2 linked regions of the Xenopus tropicalis genome follow. The protein of the gene in region 1 interacts with the protein of each later gene in a pairwise test. Links are inferred from orthologs where the notes say so. Each region holds a gene or a part of one and is shown on either strand. Other genes may lie near its edges.

Region 1 (7,120 bases):
TTGTCCTACTGTCTCCACCTAGTCCTTATATTGTTATTGTCCTACTGTCTCCACCTAGTCCTTATATTCTTATTGTCCTACTGTCTCCACCTAGTCCTTATATTCTTATTGTCCTACTGTCTCCACCTAGTCCTCATATTGTTATTGCCCTACTGTCTCCACCTAGTCCTTATACTGTTATTGTTCTACTGTCTCCACCTAGTCCTTATACTGTTATTGTCCTACTGTCTCCACCTAGTCCTTATATTGCTATTGCCCTACTGTCTCCACCTAGTCCTTATATTGCTATTGCCCTACTGTCTCCACCTAGACCTTATACTGTTATTGAGCCCTGCTGTTTCCACTTAGTTCTATTATTATCATCTAGTCCTGTCTCCACCTTGTCCTACAATTCTCATCTACTTTTGCTGTCTCCACCTTACCCTACTGTTCCCACCTTGCCTACTACCCCAACCTTGCCCAAAAGTCTCCACCTAGTTGTATTACTGTCACCTAGTCCTATGTCTCCATCTGTCCTACTTTTATCACCCAGTCCTACTGCCTCCAACTTGCCCTTCTGTCTCCACCTTCACTGTGAATGAATTGCCCAGGGCAGTTAAGCCTACTTGAGCACCAGTTAGGACAGCTGAATGCAGACCAATAGAAAGCCCTTTATGGGTCCCTCTGACACAATAGAAATAGGACAATAACCAACAGCTGAAAGTTGCACAGTGAGTAAGTCTCCGGCTCCGCCAAGCAGCTGGGACTCTATAAACAAAATGACTGTTGTATGTTACTCTCCTATGGGCCCAGCCGGCTCCTCACCACATGCCCAGCTGTCTCAGCGACAAAATGGGGACTTGTTGCTGCACTTCCATTTCCAGCCTGAGCTGGACACACTGGGTTTAGAAATATCTTCACTTGTGTTGCAGGAATTTATCTCTTCCACTCACTGACCTACAGCAGGAAAAGCACAATAAATAATAAAAATCCAACCAAAAATCACTTTCACTTTGTGAGACCTTGAGAACAGAATCCCCGGTAGGGTGTGGGTGGTCAAAAAGGTGGTCAAAAATGGACAATTCCAGCCTTGACGATGGAAATTCAGAACAAACTTGCTGAATACAAGGTACCTAGTAACCTAAATCCACCCCCTCAACAGATAATTCTGTGGGTCTTTCTATCCTCCAGGAACGTTAGGCCGTAGTCTGAACAAGCAAATGGAGAACCCACTAGAGAGGTGGAGAACGTTTTAGGGTCCCTCTGTACCCCCTCAAACCCTTGGGACTATGATCTGTTTCCTGCATCCAACGGTCCCTTCTATAGACTCATTGGGCTTGGTCCCAGGTTTCATTACCTAGAACCCACCAGTCATGTCTGTCTCCATGTTTGAAGGCCACGTTCTTACCATGTTTCATGTTTCTCCAATCTAGGAACGCCAAGAAGGAGAGCGATCTGCTGACGGCGCAGGCGCGGCTGAAGGATTTGGAGGCCCTGCTGAACTCTAAAGATGCCGCCCTCACCACGGCGCTGGGAGAGAAGAGGAATCTGGAGAACGAGATCAGGGAACTTAAGGCTCACATTGCAAAGGTGAGAAGAAACAGGGAGGGGGGAACCCTTTGGGAAGAAATGTTTTACTTTATGGCCTTTATTTGCCCCATGACCCAAGCCATCCCTGATCCTACTTCCTACGACCTGCAGGGCTTGATAGGAGTTGTAGTTCTACCTCTCCAACTGGAGGTCCAAGGTTGGGTAAGGGTTCAGCTGTTGGCCAGCTTTAATCATGGTCAAGTTTTTGGCCATTTTTTATTACTCACAGCCAAGGGGTTAATCTGTTCCTCCTTGGATGACAATATCTGGCACCGGTCCAAACAAGCTCGGGGAGTTCTCCGCGGCGAATTTATTGCTCGTCAGACAGGAGCTCGTCTGGGCCGGTAGCACAAGCTGTGTCATGTTTGGCTTCCTACACGTTCCATCTGTGTTTAGTGTGGGGGGAGTGGGCTGCAGGGGGAGTATTAGGCACATCTAAATGGCCACCCATCTGCCGTCCAATTGTGCCACTTACTGCTCCAAAGGGGCCAATTAAGAAATTAGAGGAACCGCAGTGTAAAAGGCCAGTCCTAGTCGAGGGTTTGCAGGAATTTCGACAAAACGTGTCCTTGTTTGTGCATGGTTTCTAATTAGGAAGTAATTGGGGGGGGGGGGATGCATTTGTGGTTAGTGGCACCATTGGTTGCCCTTGGATGGGCAACTGTATGATGCACCTAGGTGACCCTGAAATCAAAAGTCTGGGAGGGTCTAAGTCTGGAAGGGTCTAAGTTGTGTCAGTTGTTGAGGAGGCCAACCACGAACCCAGCTCAGTGCCGAGACCTAGTGGCTCAAAAAGACTGGGAGGGTCCAAGTCTGGAAGGGTCTAAGTTGTGTCAAATGTTGAGGAGGCCAACCACGAACCCAGCTCAGTGCCAAGACCTAGTGGTTCAAAAAGGCTGGAAGGGTCTAAGTCTGGAAGGGTCTAAGTTGTGTCAAAAGTTGAGGAGGCCAACCACGAACCCAGCTCAGTGCCGAGACCTAGTGGCTCAAAAAGGCTGCGAGGGTCCAAGTCTGGAAGGGTCTAAGTTGTGTCAAATGTTGAGGAGGCCAACCACAAACCCAGCTCAGTGCCAAGACCTAGTGGTTCAAAAAGGCTGGAAGGGTCTAAGTTGTGTCAAATGTTGAGGAGGCCAACCACGAACCCTGCTCAGTGCCGAGATCTAGTGGCTCAAAAAGACTGGGAGGGTCTAACTCTGGAAGGGTTTAAGTTGTGTCAAATGTTGAGGAGGCCAACCATGAACCCAGCTCAGTGCAGAGACCTAGTGGCTCAAAAAGACTGGGAGGGTCTAAGTTATGTCAAATGTTGTGGAGGCCAACCACGAACCCAGATCAGTGCCAAGACCTAGTGGCTCAAAAAGGCTCGGAGGGTCTAAGTCTCGAAGGGTCTAAGTTGTGTCAAATGTTCAGGAGGCCAACCACTTACCCAGCTCAGTGCCGAGACCTAGTGGCTCAAAAAGGCTCGGAGGGTCTAAGTCTGGAAGGGTCTAAGTTGTGTCAAATGTTGAGGAGGCCAACCACGAACCCAGCTCAGTGCCGAGACCTAGTGGCTCAAAAAGACTGGGAGGGTCATGGTTGGTTTAAGACAGAGTTAAAGCCAAAACAACAGACTGAGGGACTGCTGAACTTCTGGCCCATAGCCCACCTAGTCTAGGTTCAACTGACTGCTGAGACCTTGAGGGAGCCACCTTTGAGTCCAAGTGACGTTGGTTGATTCATGACTGAGTTCAAGCCGTATAACTGACTGTTGAGGGTGCCAGTTTTGAGCCCCAGAGGTTGAACTCACTCCTGAGACCTACTGGTTTAAAAGGCCAAAACTGTGCGGGACTGAGGTCCAACTCAGCACCAAGGCCAAGATGTGACCCAAGTGCATCACAAAACCCAGATTTGGTCTTCAAACTGGTCTCCCCAAGAATGGTCTCAAACACTAAAGAGACGTTATCACAATGTCCGAGCGTCCTCCATGGTGAACACAATTCCTTATGTTTGCGTAATAGGAGGGGCCTTATATTTATTAAATAGATGTTGGTTAAGATGGTGGGAAAAGGGACTAGTTAGTGGGTCTCACAAGCTGAACTTTCCGACTCTTTCTCCCCCCGCAGTTGGAGGCCAGCCTCGCCGACACAAAGAAACAACTGCAGGACGAGATGCTCCGCCGCGTGGATACCGAGAACCGCAACCAGACGCTGAAGGAGGAGCTTGAGTTCCAGAAGAACATTTCTAACGAGGTCTGTTTACTTATCTCTACTTTATGAACCTGGCCAAAGTCCCCAGTAACCACCATGCAGATTAGAGGCTGGATACAAGGCCCCCAGGGATCACCATGCAGATTAGAGGCTGGATACAAGGCCCCCAGCAATCACCATGCAGATTAGAGGCTGGATACAAGGCCCCCAGCACTCACCATGCAGATTAGAGGCTGGATACAAGGCCCCCAGCACTCGCCATGCAGATTAGAGGCTGGATACAGTGACCCCAGCAATCACCATGCAGATTAGAGGCTGAATACAAGGCCCCCAGGGATCACCGTGCAGATTAGAGGCTGGATACAAGGCCCCCAGGGATCACCATGCAGATTAGAGGCTAGATACAGTGACCCCAGCAATCACCATGCAGATTAGAGGCTGGATACAAGGCCCCCAGGGATCACCATGCAGATTAGAGGCTGGATACAGTGACCCCAGCAATCACCATGCAGATTAGAGGCTGGATACAAGGCCCCCAGGGATCACCATGCAGATTAGAGGCTAGATACAGTGACCCCAGCAATCACCATGCAGATTAGAGGCTGGATACAAGGCCCCCAGGGATCACCGTGCAGATTAGAGTCTGGATACAAGGCCCCCAGGGATCACCGTGCAGATTAGAGGCTGGATACAAGGCCCCCAGCAATCACCATGCAGATTAGAGGCTGGATACAGTGACCCCAGCAATCACCATGCAGATTAGAGGCTGGATACAAGGCCCCCAGGGATCACCATGCAGATTAGAGGCTGGATACTGTGACCCCAGCAATCACCATGCAGATTAGAGGCTAGATTTTTGTCTTTGTACCCAATAGCGTGATGCTAAAAACCATTCCCATTTGTTATTATTATTATTAGCCATAACCCATATTTATGTACAATGCCCTATTAATTATCTGCCATTTTGTGGTTGAACCTTTGCGCAATCGGTGCCCGCGCCGCCCTGAATTCCCGCCCCCCCCCCCCTCTTCCTATTTGTGGTTGGGAGCAGCAGTCGGGCCTTTCAAGCCGCCGGCGGTGCAACCGGTACCGACACGTGACTGCCGCCTCCGATAATCACTTAGGAACAATTAACGCTTATTCCCAAGCCCCAAAATCCAAACACAGGGGGGGGGGGCCGGGAGGAATCTGTTGGATCAGAACCCGTCCATCTTGTCTTGCAGGAGATGCGCGAGACCAAGCGCCGCCACGAGACCCGGATGGTGGAGATGGACAACGGGCGGCAGAGGGAGTTTGAGTCCAAACTGGCAGACGCCCTGCAGGATCTCCGTGCCCAACACGAGGGGCAGGTCGGCCTCTACAAGGAAGAGCTGGAGAAGACCTACAATGCCAAGGTGAGGCTGAGCGCCATTTAGTAGATTAGGCCCGTAGCCATGGATAGAACTGACCAAATGCCGCCCCCCCCCCAGCTGGAGAATGCCAAGCAGTCGGCCGAGAGGAACAGCAGCCTGGTGGGAGAAGCCCAGGAGGAGATTCAGCAGAGCCGGATCCGCATCGACAGTCTCTCTGCCCAGCTCAGCCAACTGCAGAAACAGGTACGGCTCCCCCCACCCCCCGTCAGGGGTGCCCATACACTGGCAGATAAGATGGCAAATCGGTCTGAAGGACCCAAAATCTGCCTGAGTATGGGCACCTTTATATATACACTTGGAGCTGCCATGTCGATTCCTGAATAAAGAAACAGCGCCACCTAGTGTGCACCAATTGCCCTGCTCTGTTACTATCTATGGGAATTGGGGGACAGGGGGTGACCTGTTGGTTTTTTTTTTGCTGCCCCCCAGCTGGCGGCTAAAGAGGCCAAACTACGGGATCTGGAGGATGCTTACGCCCGCGAACGGGACTCCAACCGGCGCCTCATGTCGGACAAGGACCGGGAGATGGCGGAGATGCGGGCCCGTATGCAGCAGCAGCTGGACGAGTACCAGGAACTGCTGGACATCAAACTGGCGCTGGACATGGAGATCCATGCCTACCGCAAACTACTGGAGGGAGAGGAGGAGAGGTGGGCGGGGCTTGCTAGTAGGCGGGGCATAAGGCCCATAGGCTAGATTTTACCCTTTCAGTGCCAAATTAAACCGCTTTAGATGGGACTTTATTAACTTTCAGATTTACCGTACTGTGTCTTACTTGCCCTTGAAAGTTGACTTGTTCAGGCAAATAAATGGAGTGAGTTCCCCCTGCTGGGTGGAACTGGTATTGCAGCAGGGGAATTTTCACTACCTGGTTACTTTATGGCATTAGTGGGTGTGTGGGGGGGTCCAGATACTTGTAACCCCCACTCTAATCTTGACTGTAGTGCCCCTCCCAATGCCAAACCATCTCCAAACATGTACCCTATATACCCCTCCCCTTTCCAAAAGCCTCAGGGGTAGAGTTGCCATCTTTTTCGTGGCCCCTGATGACATGGAGGTAGGGGGGTGGGACTTAAAAATGGGAAGGGGTGGGACCTAAAAATGGGAGGGGGTGGGGCTGTGACACTAAGGAAGGGGGGTAGAGGAAAACCGGGGGGAGTTGCAGGGTGGAAGAAGTAATGGGTGGGATGGAGGTGGAGAGGGGGCAGAATTGGGGTGGGTCAGAGGCAGAACATCAGGGGTTAAATATTTACTGGCAAGTCCATCATATATGTCCTGGCCCTGGCTAGTATTTACAGGGGTACAATAGCCCCAGCCTTCATTCATTCTCTACCAGGGGCCAAAACCTTTGGGGGGGCCCATTGAGCCCAGTGTTTCATTATGTCAGTAGAGTAGTACTGAGTATCTCTCTGCCCCCCCCCCCAGGCTGCGTCTCTCCCCCAGTCCTACCACTCAGAAGAGGTCGGCAAGGACCGTCGCCTCCCACTCTGGGACCCACATCTCCTCCTCTGCCTCCAAGAGGCGGCGCCTAGAGGCCGGGGAGTCGGGGAGCACCAGTTACACCCAACACGCCCGCACCACCGGGAAGGTCTCCGTGGAAGAGGTGGATCCGGAGGGGAAATACGTGCGGCTGCGGAACAAGAGTAACGAGGTAGGTGCCTATATGTGCTATACACGCGGGTGGGAGCTGCCATGTTGCTTAGTAGCATGAGGGGGTGTGGCTAATTCTCATCCAGTGAATGCTCCTGATACAATATATTAACAATTTGTGCTTCATGTGCCCCTTATTGTATTACAGGACCAATCGCTGGGGAACTGGCAGATCAAGCGCCAGATAGGGGAGGAGACCCCCATTGTGTACAGGTTCCCCCCCAGACTTACACTAAAGGCCGGACAAACGGTGACGGTGAGTGGCAGGGTCGGGGGTGAGGTGAAATGAAATATACTGTACTTCCT
Region 2 (7,750 bases), on another chromosome or scaffold:
AGAAACATTTCAGAAGACAGCAACAAACGGTTGTTTTTTTATCTGATATTCTTTTATGTGCACTTGTTTTTATGGTTGGAGCTAGGTCCCTTGGTCCCAGTGAAACCTGTTTGTGGCAACAGTTCTGGAAAAGCAGCCTCCATACAGAAGTAGCAGAAGTCCATTATTTTCCTGGCCTGTCAGTCATCTTCATTCTGCTAAAGTATTCCATATACTTCTTTCAGTACATTCATATATACATTCAAACATGTTAATTAAGCTATACTAAAAAGAATGAAATTTTCTTTAGGGATGCACCGAATGATGATGCCTGATGCCAATATTATTAATAGAAAAAAAGATAAAATTATAGGAAGGCCGATACTTTTTCTTCTAGAAAAGGTGGCAACCCTAATGAGAAGAGGTATGAAACACAAGGGGGCACATTTACTAATCCACAAATCCAAATCCGAATGGGAAAAATTCGGATTGGAAACGAACATTTTGCGACATTTTCGCATTTTTTGCGTTTTTTTCGTCGACGTTACGACTTTTTCGTAGCCGTTAGGATTTGCTCGTATATTGTCGCTACTTTTTTGTATTGAGCGCTTGTAAACGGCGGGCAAACCTTTCAGACTTTGCATGATTTTGGAAGCCTCCCATAGGACTCAATGGCACTCTGCAGCTCCAACCTGGCCCAAGGAAAGCCTCCCATAGGACTCAATGGCACTCTGCAGCTCCAACCTGGCCCAAGGAAAGTCTCCCATAGGGCTCAATGGCACTCTGCAGCTCCAACCTGGCCCAAGGAAAGTCTCCCATAGGACTCAATGGCACTCTGCAGCTCCAACCTGGCCCAAGGAAAGTCTCCCATAGGGCTCAATGGCACTCTGCAGCTCCAACCTGGCCCACGGAAAGCCTCCCATAGGGCTCAATGGCACTCTGCAGCTCCAATCCGACCCAAGGAAAGTCACGATACTGAAGCTTGAATGAATCCGAAACTTTCGTACTCGGCGCAACGGCTACGAAAAATCGCAACAATTCACGCGACTTTTTCGCATTTTTTGCGATTTTTTCGTCGACGTTACGACTTTTTCGTAGCCGTTAGGATTTGCTCGTATATTGTCGCTACTTTTTTGTATTGAGCGCTTGTAAACGGCGGGCAAACCTTTCAGACTTTGCATGATTTTGGAAGCCTCCCATAGGACTCAATGGCACTCTGCAGCTCCAACCTGGCCCAAGGAAAGCCTCCCATAGGACTCAATGGCACTCTGCAGCTCCAACCTGGCCCAAGGAAAGTCTCCCATAGGGCTCAATGGCACTCTGCAGCTCCAACCCGGCCCAAGGAAAGTCTCCCATAGGACTCAATGGCACTCTGCAGCTCCAACCTGGCCCAAGGAAAGTCTCCCATAGGGCTCAATGGCACTCTGCAGCTCCAACCCGACCCAAGGAAAGTCACGATACTGAAGCTTGAATGAATCCGAAACTTTCGTACTCGGCGCAACGGCTACGAAAAATCGCAACAATTCACGCAAGTCGTAACGCTACGAAAAAGTCGCGACAATTTGCGAAAAAGTCATAACGGCTACGAAAAAGTCGTGACAACTTACGAAAAAAATTGCAAAATACCGATCATTACGAAAAAAAGCATTCGGACGCTTTTCGGACGTTCGTGGATTAGTAAATGTGCCCCAAGGTGTTATAAATACACACAAGCAAACACATAACCTTGCACTAGGAGTAAGTGCCCTACAAAGGGACCAATAAACCCTATCTATGTAAATGTCTACTCTACAGTATAAGGGCAGTGGTACTTGGGGAGATTAGTCACCCCGCGACAAATCTTTGTTGTCGCGGGCGACTAATCTCCCCACAATGCCATCCCACCGGCTAGAATGGGTGGGATGGCACTGTGGGGAGATTAGTTGCCCACGACAACGAAGACGATACTACTTCAAATCGCTTAACGCTCTGAATCGATATGAGACCCTTTTTTGAGTGATTTTACAAAGAAAGCAATGTCATTAAAAACTACTGGAATCGCTGAAAGTAAAACCCACTGATGGAAGCTGCTGCGATTTCCCCATTGCACTGAATATAATTTCTAATTGTGGAATATGACACTTGGATTTGTGGGAAATAGAATTGCTCCATTGTTGTAATCGCTTGTTAGGAAAAGACAAGTGACTTGTTAAAAGCGACTCACTTTTTAAAAATCACAGCGACTAAATCTCCCCATGGGATATTAGCCTAAGAAAGAGACAATTTAAAATAAAATGAAAGAGCAAATATTTGTTCAATACTAAAAATAATGACAACATTTCTTTAATGTCTCTATTTCATCTTAAAAGATGTAATTAATACTTAAAAAAACATTTTGTACGGCGTTAATGAATACAAACAACGTCAAATCATTAATTTCAGTCCTACAATGGTGCTGGCAGGCTGGCTTCACACTGTGCCAGTGCGCTTGCGCATTGTGAGAACGCCGAACTCTAGATCATTCAGAGGGTTAAAGGGAACAGGACGGTGAATCGCGTTTCGAGCGATGGATGGTTTACAGTCAGCTGGAGCGCCATGTTAGCCAGTGAATAAGCTTAGAGCTGAGCATCGCTGGAGTCTCATCCGAACAGGTACAGGTCTGCCGCATCGGCTCTAGTTGGGAGGGATTCCCCCAATAGTGAACCGTCCGAATATATTACAGCTGCCAGTTTGTCTTGTGACAGTCACAGGCGGTGAGGAAGATGGCTCGGTCTTATTGTCTTCTTGTCAGTGGTTCCTCTTTACAAATCCCAGTGTTTGTGTTACTGTACTAAATACGAATTGCTACACACTTATGGCCACCTATTGCTTTACTTGTTAATTTATCTTCTATGTGTGTGTGTATGTATGTATATATATAATATATATATATATTATACACACACACAGTACTCAAGCCATGAATATCCAGTAAATTGATAGTGATAATCAGTGCTTAGTTCTAAAATTTGTGTCTTGCTGCGTTGTGCCACTATATGGTCATGAAACCTCCCATAACCTCTGATATCTTTATCATGTACAATAGAGGGTACATATATAGTCTCATTGACTGTCATAAGGATGATCTTGATGACAACTTTGTATAGATTGGAACACGTAGAACTTTTAAAGGGGTTGTTCACCTTAAAATTAACTTTTAAGTATGACGTGGAGATTTATATTTGCATTTGGTCTTAATTTTTATTATTTACGGTTTTTTAATTAATTTGCTTTTTGCGAAGCAACTCTTCAGTTTGGAGTTTCAGCACCTATCTGGTTGCTTTGATCTTAGTTACCCTAGTAACCAGGCAGTGGTTTGAATTAGAGACTGGAATATGAACAGGAGAGAACGTAACTAGGAAGATAAGTAATGAAGAGAATGACAATAAAATTGTAGCCTCACAGAGCAATAGTTTTTGACAGACAGGGTCAGTGACAGGCCCGGACTGACGATATGTGGATTCTGGTAAATTCCAGAGGGGCTGCTGTAAGATACCATAGACAGTCACTATTGGGCTGGTGGGGGCTGTTTGGGCCTTTTGTGTACTTGAATTGGCCAGGCCTATTTTGAATCCCAGATCAGACCTGGTCAGTGACCCCCATTTGGAAGCTTTAGAAGAAGAAGCCAAATAATTCAAAAACGATACAAAATAACAAATGAAGACCAGCTGAAAAGTTGCCAAGTATTGATCATTTTATAACATAATAAAAGTTAACTTGAGGTGAATCACTCTTTAACTTCACTGGATTACTTAAATAACATGCAAAAATAAGTGCTTTTGTATTGTGACTGTATATAGTAAGCATCCGGCTGGATACTTCAGAATTATTGGAGTGTGTCTGGATGGGATGGAGATAAATAAAATGTTAGGCACCCCCATTGATTGTAATCATTTACCTGATACCCCAGCCGGTGCTCCTGTTTGGAGAAAACTGCAGTGGCCTTGGGTATATGTGAGCGAGTGTTCCTTTTCCTTTTATCTTCTTTCTTCGGAATCCAGGGGCCGAAGCATGCTCAGTTGAATGAAAAAGCCAGCTATTTTGTTAAAGCCGGCTTTTTACTCTACTGCACATGTGCAAAGAAGAAGGAACGCTCGCTCGCATACACCCTGGCCACTGCAGTTTTCTCCAAACAGGAGCACCGGCTGGGGGTTTCAAGTAAGCGATTGAAGTCACTGAGGGGAGGGGGGCTGCCTAACATTTTGGCACCCCCAAGTGATTGTAACTTTCCTTCTCCTTTAGGGCCGTGGCAGACGGGGAGATTATTCGCCTGCAACAAATCTCCCTTGTCGCGGGCGACTAATCACCCCGATATGCCACCCCATCGGCTTAAATGTCAATCGCCGGTGGTATGGCATATGCGGTGCCGCAATTTCCCAAAATTGCGGAAGTTTCCTCTCAAGGCAAACTTAAGGCCCTTAATGTTCATAATTGCGGTAGCACCTTATTCAGGCGCCGAAAATGCAGTACAGAGAAAAATAGCTTTTATAGGCCCCTTTCCTTAGCACCAGCTCCAGAGCAGAGCAGAACAGGACAGAGCCTCGGGTAATACATTTTTGAACAGTAGAATGCAAGAATTATTTTTTAGGTTTTTGCTGAACTCGCAGCTATGTTCTTGCCCCTGTGTATAATTCTACATTGTGTTCTTTTTCCTTGTAAATGCAGAATCATGGTGTAATGGGGTGGGGTGGGGGGGGGGGGGGTTGTTAGCTCTGGAAGGAAATGTATATGTGAATATTTTCATTTCTTTTTATGTAACTGGCAGTTTAGTCTGCTTTTTTCTTTATATGCCAAATATTAGCCAAGACTTAAGACTTATTATCTTTATTATTTTGTGTCCCTGGCAGTTTATTATTGGCAGCTTGTATTTTTAATTTCAAACCTAGTTGGTTGAGAAAGAAAAAAGCAGCTCTTTGTTTTATATTTATTGACCAGGTTTTAGGGGCAGCTGGGTCTCTTCATCAGACATTCCTTTAAACCATGGAGAATTATCTGTTTCAGCCAATAAAATAACCATATAAATGCCAGTATTTCCCTTTCGAAAAGGTGAGACAGTTATTCCAAAAATGCTTATATATCATGCATGTTAAGCAATCCTGCCCAGTGCACAAAGGTTTCCATCACTGTGCAGATTCTTTGTCCTATAATAGTTAATTGGAAATTATGTAGAAATAACCTGTATATGTGTGCATGGGAACTAAAGTTCTCAGCCCTTAATTTCAGCAAGAAAAAAAAATCACTAGTTTGTCAGTGCATAACATTTCTGTAAAACTTCTCAAGTCCAAATGTAATAAATAATACCTCCAGATTACATGGGCATAATGTTTACCCTAGAATGCGCCAATTCCTTAATTTTGGGGTTTTTTTCTTAAAGGTAATCACATGTTGTGGGATCTTTGAGCACTCTGGTTTTAAGTAACCCAAATTAGCACCTGAAATTGCCCTTCATAGACTTTGGCAGTCCATTGTTCCAGTGCTTGTCAGGTGATATTTGTCTAGATAATATTGTGGGCACATTTCAATCTATAGGGAGAGTTTGGGGTGCTTTGGAGCTGTGTTGGGGCTCCTTACAAAAGCATTGTTCAAAACACCTAAAACAGCCCCTTGTGCCATTAGACTTAATAGTATAAACTATAGTATAGTTATATAGTATAGTTCTAGTTTGATTTTCTAATAACATCTTTTTTTTTCTCTCTCTCTTTCTACTGCAAAGGCTGACTGCTATACAAATACATTGCCCTCACTGATCATTGTCATAAAACACAAATTCACATCAAAGGAAACCCAGTATGCCTCCAAAGTTCAAGAGGCACCTCCACGATGAGGAGGTTACAGGTTCAGTTAAAAGTGAAAGGGTAAGTCTTTTTTTTTATATTCAATGTTGTCTATCACGTAGAATGCTCAGCTTGTTTTCCAAGTCACGTTAATAGAAAATAGTGTATATACTGAATTTAATTGACCAGGGCTACAAAGAGATGATGTTTCCATTGGCAAACAGAAAAAAGCAGAGTTCAGTCAGTGTTTAGGCTGGTGGTGGGCAGGCAGACTTATTGGTGGGTGAACCACATAACATCACAGATGATGGTTTTTCTAAGAGGAAACTGTCAGCTCAAGTCACCAACCAAATGAATGCAACTGATGGTCCATTAAATTGCAGTCACTTACAAAAGTGTGCATCCCCTTCAATGGGCTAAAGAATGATGGCTTCCTCAAAAGCAAGGCATGAATCCATTCTTGATGGGGAAAATCAGAAATCCTATATTTTGTTAGAGAGTTTATTTTGACTTTGAAAGATGGTTTCCAATACATCTATATCATTGTTTTTATTAGAGTAGAAATTTCTAATCCTTTTTTTTTATTTTCAGAGGAATCTGTTGGAAGAAGACTCAGATGAAGAAGAAGATTTCTTCCTGTAAGTTTTTTTTTATGGTCTTATAAATATATATAATTACAATTACAGCACAAATCTTGTAAACTAAAAAGTAACATGTCATATATATATCTCAGATTTGTTTCCTGGCATTGGCCAGTGTTCCAGTGATGAGGCAATTCTGCAAGCCAGTATGCTGGATACAATTTTCAAATACATGACAGTAGTGTTTTTGGGGGTATTTTGACAGAGAAAAAAAACATATAGGGCATAATCTACTAGTATCTTGTTTGTGTCCTGTGAGTTGATTGTCACTGTGTCACAATGGAGTATAATTAATCAATATGCAACAAAAAAATATGAATTCATTATCACCGTTTTTATTTATTCCCAATATATTAAGTTGGATTCATTCGTAGGGATGCATCGAATCCAGGATTCAGTTTGGGATTCAGCCAAATCCACGCTCCTGGCCAAACCAAATTCGAATCCTAAAAACCATGTGACTTTTTGTCACGTAAACACGTTTACGTTTACTGTGCAAACCTAATTTGCATATGCACATTTGGATTTGGTTTGGTATTTGGCCGAATCTTTTACGAAGGATTCGGGGTTCGGCTGAATTCGAATAAAATGGATTGGGTGCATCTCTAATTATTAGGCATATGGTACTAGTCAGGAATGATAGATTAGTAATATCACAGTAACCCCTATATCTAAACTGGGAAGTGATGCAGTGATTTGTGGCAATTCCAGGTACATTACAATCTTTTACATCTACAATCTTTTAGTATACTACATCAACAAGGACACTCGGATTTGTGTAATTTTAGAGGTTTTTTTTCAACCTTGACTAAACTCACATTTTTAAAAATAAAGATCCCTTATTTATTAAAAAAAAATCTAAAAACAAAAACGTGGATTAAATAGGAATACAAAAGAAATACAATTTGATAAGGACAACTCCCATTGACTTCAATATGACCATGCCAGCTTTTAGATCGCAAAGTTTTTCATGGTTTTATACTTGATAAATAATAAAAAAAAAAATCAGTGTTCTAGAGTAATTATCTTTGTAAGTAGAACTGGTTTTAAAGGGGTTGTTCGCCTTTAAATTAACTTTTAGTATGATGTAGAGCAGGGATTCCCAAACCTTTCTTGCTTGTGAGCCACAGTCAAATGTTAAAAGACTTGGAGAAAAGTTCATGGAGGAGCCAAATAAGGGCTAAGATTGGCTATTAGGGGCCTCTATGCACACTATCAGCTTACAGGGGGCTTTATTTGGTAGGAAATATTGTTTTTATTTAACCAAAACTTGCCCCCAAGTCAGGAATTTAAAAATAACTACCTGGTTTGGGGGTGCAGAGAGCAACATCCAAGGGG

The links. The genes of interacting proteins can lie anywhere in the genome.
Region 2: the proteins of lmna (region 1) and vamp4 interact in a two-hybrid assay, tested with the Homo sapiens proteins (2 studies listed by BioGRID and IntAct, with this or other methods). The link is inferred for Xenopus tropicalis from reciprocal best matches to the Homo sapiens genes LMNA and VAMP4.

The regions. Positions count from the first base shown.
Region 1 is NC_030684.2:142,919,851-142,926,970, reverse strand, and holds part of lmna (lamin), read left to right. Parts: intron 1-1,412; coding exon 1,413-1,569; intron 1,570-3,668; coding exon 3,669-3,794; intron 3,795-4,975; coding exon 4,976-5,146; intron 5,147-5,221; coding exon 5,222-5,347; intron 5,348-5,593; coding exon 5,594-5,814; intron 5,815-6,589; coding exon 6,590-6,815; intron 6,816-6,962; coding exon 6,963-7,070; intron 7,071-7,120.
Region 2 is NC_030680.2:107,499,952-107,507,701, forward strand, and holds the start of vamp4 (vesicle-associated membrane protein 4), read left to right. Parts: upstream 1-2,589; 5' UTR 2,590-2,609; intron 2,610-4,937; exon of another isoform or gene 4,938-5,043; intron 5,044-5,710; 5' UTR 5,711-5,786; coding exon 5,787-5,852; intron 5,853-6,362; coding exon 6,363-6,409; intron 6,410-7,750. UniProt on the Homo sapiens protein: Involved in the pathway that functions to remove an inhibitor (probably synaptotagmin-4) of calcium-triggered exocytosis during the maturation of secretory granules.